2 linked regions of the Neurospora crassa OR74A genome follow. The protein of the gene in region 1 interacts with the protein of each later gene in a pairwise test. Links are inferred from orthologs where the notes say so. Each region holds a gene or a part of one and is shown on either strand. Other genes may lie near its edges.

Region 1 (4,484 bases):
TCAATAGTTCCTTGTCCTTCACAAAGTCTCCAGCAGAATTAATCTCCACGTTTCAGTGCAGTGCAGTGATCTTCCAGCCATACCTCCACCATCCTCCGAGCATCTCTAACAACCATCACCTCCTCGCCGGCCTCATGAGCTGTGTGCTGTGGGCATCAGCAATCCTCGGAACCGTCTTGGCTGCGTTCAAGCATCCTCTATCTTATACTTCCATATCGCTTCGATCCGGCCTTCTATTTTCCACCAGTTGGCTGGGACCGAGTAAACCAGCAAATTCCTCACTACATAAGCTCTTCTCGTAGCAAACCCCCTTCAACTCCCTAGAAGTTATGGCTGTTGATTCGCTTAGGATTTATAACTACGTCAAGCCCCCCTCCCCCCTCCCCCCCCCCCCCTTTTTTTTTTTTTTTTTTTTTTTTTTGGGAAATGCCTAGATCTTAATAGCCCCCATGGACAACCCGCGGCGAGTGAATGAACTACGTACCCATAGCCATTCGGTCAGGCAAAGTTGTGTCATGATCGAGAACAGCATAACGAGTCACCGAAGAGGAAATGCATATTGCTCCTTCATTTCCTTCAACTGTTCACTCATTTCGGTGCAGGACACGTTTGGTGGTTGTCGGACTCGACTCGGATTATTTGACTCACCAACGCGAACTGGTGATGTTGTCCTTTCAGACTTTCGCAGATCTTCTTTTGGCTACTACAACCACACCTCCAACAACAACAACCAACACGTGCATAGAACAATCAAGAATGGATGTACTGTTCTTCGACAGTGAGGCCACCGTGTTCGTTCGTTGGTATTAGGTATTAGTTATAATGCAACTTCCTTTTCTTTCCCCTGAGTCTTCCTCGGGACACTCCTCCCATAAGGTCCATCGAGCTCTATTCTATCCTGTCTCCAAGAACACTCTTTTTCATGATTGATCAATCACGTCATTATATGCCGTAGACCCAGTTCCATAATTATAACAACTAAAACCAAAGAACGCCCATCTAAGCATCCACACCCTTCCTCACCACCACATCAGTGTCTTTACAACTGGCAACCCTCCCTCCTCTCCCAGTAAATCTTCGCCGGCTCAAGGGGCCTCGAGAAAAGCGAAGCGTAGTCGGTACCAATAACCTTATCGCTACCATCCACGTTCCTGAATTTGAAGTTACGAACAATAATAGCAAGGATAGTCTGCAGCTGCACATTGGCGAACTGCTCGCCAATGCAGCGGTGACGACCGGCGCCGAAGGGCAGATAAGGGGAGTTGGCGCCCTTGCTGACGAGACCGTAGCCGTAATCGATTTTCTCATCGTCCTCCTCGCTAGGGACGTTGCGAACAATTGTGGGCGCGAGGGGCGAGTCCTTCTCCCAGCGGTGGGGCTCCCAAAGGTCGGGCTGGGGGAAGTAGGACTCGTCCGTGGCGGAGACACCAGGGGCGGCGAGGAGGACGTGATCGGTCGGAATAACGTACTTGGTACCGGGGACGGGCATGGGCGTCTTGACGGCGCGCATGATGGAATGGATAGGGGCGTGGAGGCGGAGGGTTTCCTTGACAATGGCGGCGTGCAGGGGCAGCTTGGCGAGGTCCTCGTAGGTGAGTGGGGGGAGGTCGGCGCCGAGGTTCTTGACTTGTTCGTTGTAGAGATCCTCCATGATGTCGGGGCGGGAGGCGAGGCGGAGCATGATCCACGAGCTGGTGGAGGACGAAGAATGCTGGCCGGCCATGAGGAGGGCGATCATCATGTGGGCGATCTCGTGGTCGGGAACGGGGACGTCGCCCTTGTAGGTCGAGTTCATCAGGTGCCACATAATGTCCTGGGCGCCAGTCTCGCCGCGAGCGCGACGCTCCTTGATGGTGTCCATGTAGATCTTAGCAACGGTACGCTGGGCGTAGTCGCGACGGTTGTTCCAGGGAAGAGGGGCCCAGTGAAGCATGAAGTTGATGGGAGAGAAACCCATGTCGAGGTCGTGGTATAGGTCGGCAAGCGTCTCGTCGAACTTGTCGCGAATCTCCTTGCCCTGAAGAGCGTGCGAGGCGGTGAAGATGGTGATCTGCGCCATCTTGGGGGGAATATCGACGATGCCGGATTTTCCCTTGAAGTCGGCGGTTCTCTTGAGGTAGCTGGTAACCTCATCGGAGATGATGGGGACATATTGGCGGAAAGCTTCGGTGGTGAGCGCAATTTTCATGAACTTGTGAAAACCGTATGTTAGCACACTCTTTACCACCTCCATATGTTGTTGCCTCTGCTAACCTTCTTCTGCTCCATAAGCTTGGAGTTGGGGCAATCGTAGACGACGTCCTTGCCGAAAACAGGGGTAGTAAGGACGGTGTAAATCTCTTCGGCGTTGACATCGCGAATTTTGCCGTTCAAGATAAAGTCATTGCCCTTGGGGCCGACGTAGACAGTAGTCTTCTTTCCGAGGAGGATGAAGGTGAAGCAATCGCCGTACTGTTCGAGCGCCGAGATCGTTAGCAAGCCAAGTTCGCGCGTAGCCCAACAGGAGGCGGTTGGAGGATTTACCTTTTCCCTGTTCTCCTTGAAGAAACGCGGCGGGTCCATACCATACGTAATGGTGCTGCCGATGAGAGGAAACCAGTGGAAGACGAGAGGCGGCTCATTAGGCTTTTTGAAGAGGAACTGCTGGAGGACGTTGAGGACGACGGCAACAAACAAAAAGGAGGCGATCGCGACACCAATTTGCGACACCGTCCCCAGCTGGGAAAACTGCTGGGACAGCGGTCCCGCAACGACTTGCAGGATGCCCATGGTTGGAGAAGGAGGCGGGGAGAAGGCGTGGAGGGGAACGAAGCCAAAGTCGTGGACGCCGGCAGCAAACAAGCAAGAAAATGAATGTAGCCTGAGGAGGGGGGGTAAAAGGGGAGAAGATGGGCGACGCGACTTGATTTTATAAAGTCGGTCGATGGTTGGCGGTTATCGTAGCCTTTCCCTCTCTGGCTACGACCTATCCTAGCGATAGGCTGATAGGGGAGGGGAGGTCTACCCACCTAGCTAGGGACCAAGGGCAGTGCAGTGGTAGTGTAAAACTGGGGTGACAGCAGCACACTTTCACCAGCTTGGTGAAGCTCAGGGACCACCTCACCTTTCGGGAGCAGCTTTCCCTCCGGGCGAATAGGAGTTGGGCAGTCTGATGTCTCCCAGCCAATCATAAGAGCAGGGGCAACGCATTCGTATTCGGATTTTTGGTTGGACGGTACGTACCCTCTCCAGATCATCCAAACTAACCTATCCTTGCCGCACTGGCAACCTCAGCCCAAGATCATGCCATGGGGGAAATCGCATCTGACGGTTTCCACCATGGAAAGAGACGATTGGAGCTCTTCAGCCATGCTGTTTTGGTCTTGCAAAGGAAATGGGATGCAGACAGGGTAATGTCATGCTTGAATGGAAATCCTAACGTCTTCAGAACGCGGCGAGTACGAAGGAATACATATGAATGCCTGACTGCAGATGCAGGGCAGCGATGAACAGATATGATAATATGCATACTACTTGAATGGCCGCTATCTACATACTTCACCCCTTTCAAACATCTCACCAATTCCCAACTCGCAAGCAAAAGTATCTAACATTCCGTGCTTTGTTGAAAGAAACTTGGTCAAATACTAAAAAAGGGGTCAAGCTGGAGTTCAACGGAGCCATCTCTTGGCATTCGAGGTTGTGCTTTGCCACAGCGGCTACTCCCGCTCTCGTCTCAATCCCGCCCAAGCAAGTCATCTTGCGTCGTCCCTCGCCTTTGCTGACCACCACTATCTTTCTAGCCTATGAAAATATATTAAAAAAGGAACCAAAGAAACACGTGGAGTTCGCTATTGTTATAGTGAGGTAGTGCAATGGCGTCATCAAACGATTACGCAAACGTATTCGAATCCATGGTTTGATAGACTCATGATCGAAAATCTGTTGCTGCCGGTTCGAATATGTATGTATAGAGTAAATATATTTATTTGTTGTCTGAATCAGGTGGCTTGGTATCTTCCAATACTATGAGGCAGGTTTCCAACCGAGCCCTTTGTCACTCTACACAAAACCAACCAAATGCATTGACTTGCTTGGTTCAGACATGCAAGAAAACAGAAAAAAAAAAAAAAAAAAAAAAAAAAAAAAAAAAAAAAATCAATGCTGATTCTGACAGGAAGCCGGGACATGTTCTATCTGACATCGAAAGAAGAAAACCCATACGAAGGAATAGAGAAAAGCTTGAGTGAATGCGTGTTATGTGGTATCATGAGTGCCCTATCCCAAGAATCCCGGAATGATCAATGCTCCCCCCTTCCCCTTTTTTGTTACCCCGAAAATGAAAGTGTAACTCCTGGTTGAACGCCGTCCAAAATGCGAAAAGCTGCAAAGAATAAGCGCTATGACTGGCAAGTTTGTTGTTGTGGTTGTTGTTGGTTGTGGTTGTGGTTGTGATTGTTGATGTTGATGCTTCGGAAGCTGTGGCGTTCCTTGCTTATGGTTCA
Region 2 (4,318 bases), on another chromosome or scaffold:
TCGTCGCCCCGCTCATCGTCGGGCGCGGGCCGCAGCGGATCTGGGAGCCCAACCCGCTAAGCGCCGGATGACTTGAAATAAGGGAGGATGCGGAGAGGAGGTCGAGAACTTCGCCGTCGATACCGGTAGTAGCACTAGGGGAGGCCGAGGGCGCGGTGATGGCGTTGGGGGCGCGGAAGATGGTACTGGGGGTGGAAGACAAGGTGGCGGGACGGAGGGAGGGGAGGATGGAGAATGAGCTGTATTCAGGGAAGTGGTCAGTTACTATGTTTGTGTTTTGGCATGCGGGTGGGGAGGGAAGGCAAGAGCAGAACAGCGTACCGAGTGGCAGTCTTGGGAAGAAAAGCGCTCGGCTTGAAAACAGCCTGGAGGGCCGACGAGAAAATCCTGGACATTTTGTCTACAAATGTGGTTGTCGCCGATGATGGTAGTGGTGGTAGTCGACGTCAAAGGATTGCGGGGGTGGAACAGGACCGGGCGAGACCGAATGCGCCGGGACGAACACAAAGCGTTTCGGGGATCCTATAGAGTGGTTCGCGACGAGCGGGCGCGGTTGCTGGATCGGCTCCGTCCAAAGTTCGATTGATCGGCCGGGGTCCGGGGAGAGCTTTTTGCACCCGGTTGCCAGCTGCTACTGTGGGAAGCAAGGGTTAGGGTTAAGTATTTCATCTGTGTTACCTCGACAATATGGTCTGCATTCGGTAATGAACCGCATAACAAGTTCCAGGTTCAAGGTTGATGAACTCCGTCCTGTTCAGTTCAGTAATGGAAGCCAGATTCTTTCTAGATTGTCTATCAAAAATTGAAGATTTAAAAGCAATATAGAGTAGGGTACTCTTCGCTGAGTGTGCTGATTTCCTTTGATTTGTGATCCCGCGCATGTCAGCCTTATTTATCAATTCCTCATCCACCTTCTCATTTGCATCATCCTTCACTGGCTTAGAGCTCATCCCGCCCAGTGGCAGTAGCAACATCAATCTTCTCTTCACCATCCTTGGCCTTCTCCTTGCCCTCAACCTTTCCAGTGGACTGCCAGTTGAGAGCCTTCAGTCTCTCGGTCAAAATGGGGTGCGAGAAGTGGTAAGTGGCGAACATCCAATCAGCATCCATAGTGCTGAGGTTCTGGATCTGGAGCTTGATCAAGGAGCGAGCGAGCTCCGCATTGTAGCCAAGCTTGTTGGCGAACTCATCAGCCTGGAACTCGAACTTGCGGCTGAGAACATTCATGCCCAGCTTGATGAGGGTGTCGGTAGGGCCAAGGACGTCCGAGAAGAGAAGGAATCCAACGATGATAGGGTGCACCGTGTGGAAGCCAAAGTCGGCATAAAGGGAGTTGTTGTTGATGAAAACGGAGAAGAGAGAGAAAATGGCGAAGAAGTGGGCCTATGCATTGTCAATCACAATTCGTGGTAAACAGCGGGATAACAAAGCAGCATCAGCTTACCTGGGAGATGCCAAAGAGACTAGTGGTGTGACCCAACTTCCAGTGACCCAGCTCGTGTGCAAGAACGGCAACAACTTCCTGGGTCTCGCTCTTTTCAATTAGGGTATCATAAATGACAATGTGCTTCTTCCAGGGCATGCCGAAGAAATAAGCGTTGCTGTGGGCACTGCGCTTGCTGCCATCAATGACGTGCAACTCGGAGAGGGGGAACTTGAGCTTCTTGGCGAGATCCTCCACGCTGCTCTTGAGCTCACCCTCCTCAAGAGGAGAGAGCTTGTTAAACAGAGGCAGAATGAAAATCGGGTAGATGGTGATCATGACAACCTGGAGACCAGCGACGAAAACCCAGAGATAGTAGAAGAACTGGTTTCCAGTCTTTTGCACGATAGCTAAAAAGCCGGCGAGGATCGGAGGCGTGAGAACGAAGGTCAAGAAGAGGGACTTGATCTTGTCGGTAATCCAAAGCTTGGCAGACGACTTGTTGAAACCGAACTTCTCCTCCAAGACAAAAGTGTGGTAGAGGCTAGTCGGTAGCGAGAGAATCTGGGAGATGACGACAAAGGACAGGACGAAGACGATAGATTGCGAGATTTCGCCGGAGAACCTGGCTGGCGCGAACCGAACGAGGAGGTTGCCGGCGAATGACCATAGCTTCGGGAGGACGTCGAACTGATAGAACAAGATGTTTTGGATTTGACCGTAGATACCGCTGAAGAACTCGAACTTTGCCTTGGCGCGTCCGTATGCCTGTATCGTGTGTCAGAGAATGGTGGCCGGTTGGCCCGTAGCCTAGGGGATATCGTACCTGACTCTTGTCAAAGACCTCCTGGGACACCTCATGCTCCAACACCTTGGGGACCTTGGTCTTCTTGAGGACCTGATACTGACGATAACCGAGGAAACCTTCGATGAAGTAGTTGGCGAGGGAGAAGCCGATGATCAGCTTCTTCCAGGGAAAGAGAGGCCGGTCGAGGAACCTCGCGAGACGCTGTCGTTTTGAGAGTGCCATGTTAGCCGGTGCACGCCTTGGATGTCAGAGGAGAAGGATTTCGCAAAACGTACCTGAAGGAACTCCATCGTCGCGCAATAAGGGCGTGTCTACTAGAGGCTCCGCCGAATGCGCAAATGGAATGTTTGTTTGTTGGAACAATGAAAGCCAAAAGACCGTGTCAGATTGTCCGCCGCATTGGTTATAAGCACAATGCCAGGCAAGGTACAAACAGTAACAACAACCTGTCCTTGCCCCAGTTTCGCTTGGAGCTTCCTTGCAGGCATGTACCGCTACGTACCCTGCTGTGTATGGCGCAGTCGCCAACACTAGAAGTTACACATGCTGATTGGGTCGGGCTACTTCTCCTTGCGCTCGCCCCGCTCGGTAAATCTTATCGATAAGCCCGGTCGTAGAGGTTCCCCCGCCGCGAACCCGGACGCAACGCTGGATTGTTCGCATGTTGCCGGGTCACCCTACAGATCTCCGAACATAACAGTGTTTCCTGTTGTCATCAAGGCGCATTTCCCGATGTCTATAGTATGTAGTCATATCGTGTGGCTTCCGGTTTATGATCTTGTATTTAGCGGTTAGGATCACGAGTATGCAAGTACGATGGGAGAACAGGATTCAACAGCCATGTGTCCTCTAGCCAGCTGACGACACCATCGCCGGGCAGCATGCTATGAAGATAGTAATGTCCTCAAGAACATGGAACAGAGATAAATGCAGGCTAGGTATTCTTCAAGGGGTATAAACATATCATAGGGCTCCTCCGATTTCTCCAGCACGACCAGTTCACTGTCTTGGGATTCTCAAGTTCGCTTGGATCCTTTCCAGTAACTGCTCCCGGGTGTCCGAATCTTGTGGATGAAGATTACGCTGGTGATCATCAAAGTTAGCTCACAACATTAGCTTCGAGTTCTGCGTCAGCTTCTAACAAACTTGAAAACTCACCAGTGCAAGCCATCTGCGCATCTCCTCGCGAGTCCATTCTTCAGGATTGCCCTTTGGGTCAGCCTGGTCTTGAGGAAACACTTCGCCTCCAAAGATAGACCATGCGGCGACACCCGTCACGATGCCGGCGAATGCTATGTGGGGTTAGTCAAGCTTCGGTCGACTGCCCGACTGTTAAAAAAGAAGCTCACCAAGAAATGCGTTCTTGCTCGCGGAAACTATCAGAAGAGATTCGACAAGCATGATTGCTTCGGGATGTTGTGTTGTTGTGAAGAGGTACTCACTCGTGATCTCAACGCTTTATCTAGTGCCGTGGGCATATCGAGTAGTTCGGAAAAGGGTTGTCTTCGTTATAAGTGGTGGTAAGGCAAGAGGGGTAGACGCACTACTACAAAACGTTAACGCCCTAACTGAGTTGTCTGATGAGGTGGCACTTGGTTTGGAACAAAAGAAGCTCTACAATTAGGACCGCGTGATTAGTTTTTGATTATATACTATCTGGATTACACAAACTGGAATCGTGTCCTCCCGAGGCCTCGACCAGATGCGACCGAGCTTGAAGGCGAACTGCCGCGCAATCCCGTCAGATGTTCCAGATGGTCTAATGGTGACTGCCTGCGACTGAGGTAAGTCGACGCCACACGAGCTCCCTGTGTCACTGCATCTCCCAAAGTCGACGCAGTTACCAAAAGTGCAGCATCAGCCACACTTGGAGCTTGCGCTAACGTCGGCAGGTGTGATCTGGCGGAAGTGACAGCGGAAACAAGGGTGCATCGCGTTAGCGGCCCATTGCCCGCACGCATCCCCACCAAGCCACTCGCACCGCCCAGGCCCCAAACCCACACAAAATTATTTCCATAGTACCTAAAATTCATCCACGCTCCTGAACTCCGTTGTCGTCGTCACCACAAGTACGGGAAGTCCAGCAC

What was found.
Region 2: the proteins of NCU02624 (region 1) and NCU03637 interact in a protein complementation assay, tested with the Saccharomyces cerevisiae proteins (2 studies listed by BioGRID). The link is inferred for Neurospora crassa OR74A from reciprocal best matches to the Saccharomyces cerevisiae genes ERG11 and STE24.

Annotation. Positions count from the first base shown.
Region 1 is NC_026501.1:2,956,453-2,960,936, forward strand, and holds NCU02624 (cytochrome P450 51), read right to left. Parts: upstream 3,038-4,484; 5' UTR 2,770-3,037; coding exon 2,524-2,769; intron 2,452-2,523; coding exon 2,254-2,451; intron 2,192-2,253; coding exon 1,040-2,191; 3' UTR 419-1,039; downstream 1-418. UniProt on the Saccharomyces cerevisiae protein: Sterol 14alpha-demethylase that plays a critical role in the third module of ergosterol biosynthesis pathway, being ergosterol the major sterol component in fungal membranes that participates in a variety of functions.
Region 2 is NC_026505.1:1,910,589-1,914,906, reverse strand, and holds NCU03637 (CaaX prenyl protease Ste24), read right to left. Parts: upstream 2,710-4,318; 5' UTR 2,522-2,709; coding exon 2,507-2,521; intron 2,433-2,506; coding exon 2,250-2,432; intron 2,192-2,249; coding exon 1,445-2,191; intron 1,384-1,444; coding exon 940-1,383; 3' UTR 685-939; downstream 1-684. Other genes in the region: NCU03638 (hypothetical protein), read right to left, coding at 1-239, 322-395; NCU03636 (hypothetical protein), read right to left, coding at 3,231-3,314, 3,390-3,523, 3,581-3,632. UniProt on the Saccharomyces cerevisiae protein: Proteolytically removes the C-terminal three residues of farnesylated A-factor mating pheromone. Also acts to cleave the N-terminal extension of the pheromone. Does not act on Ras.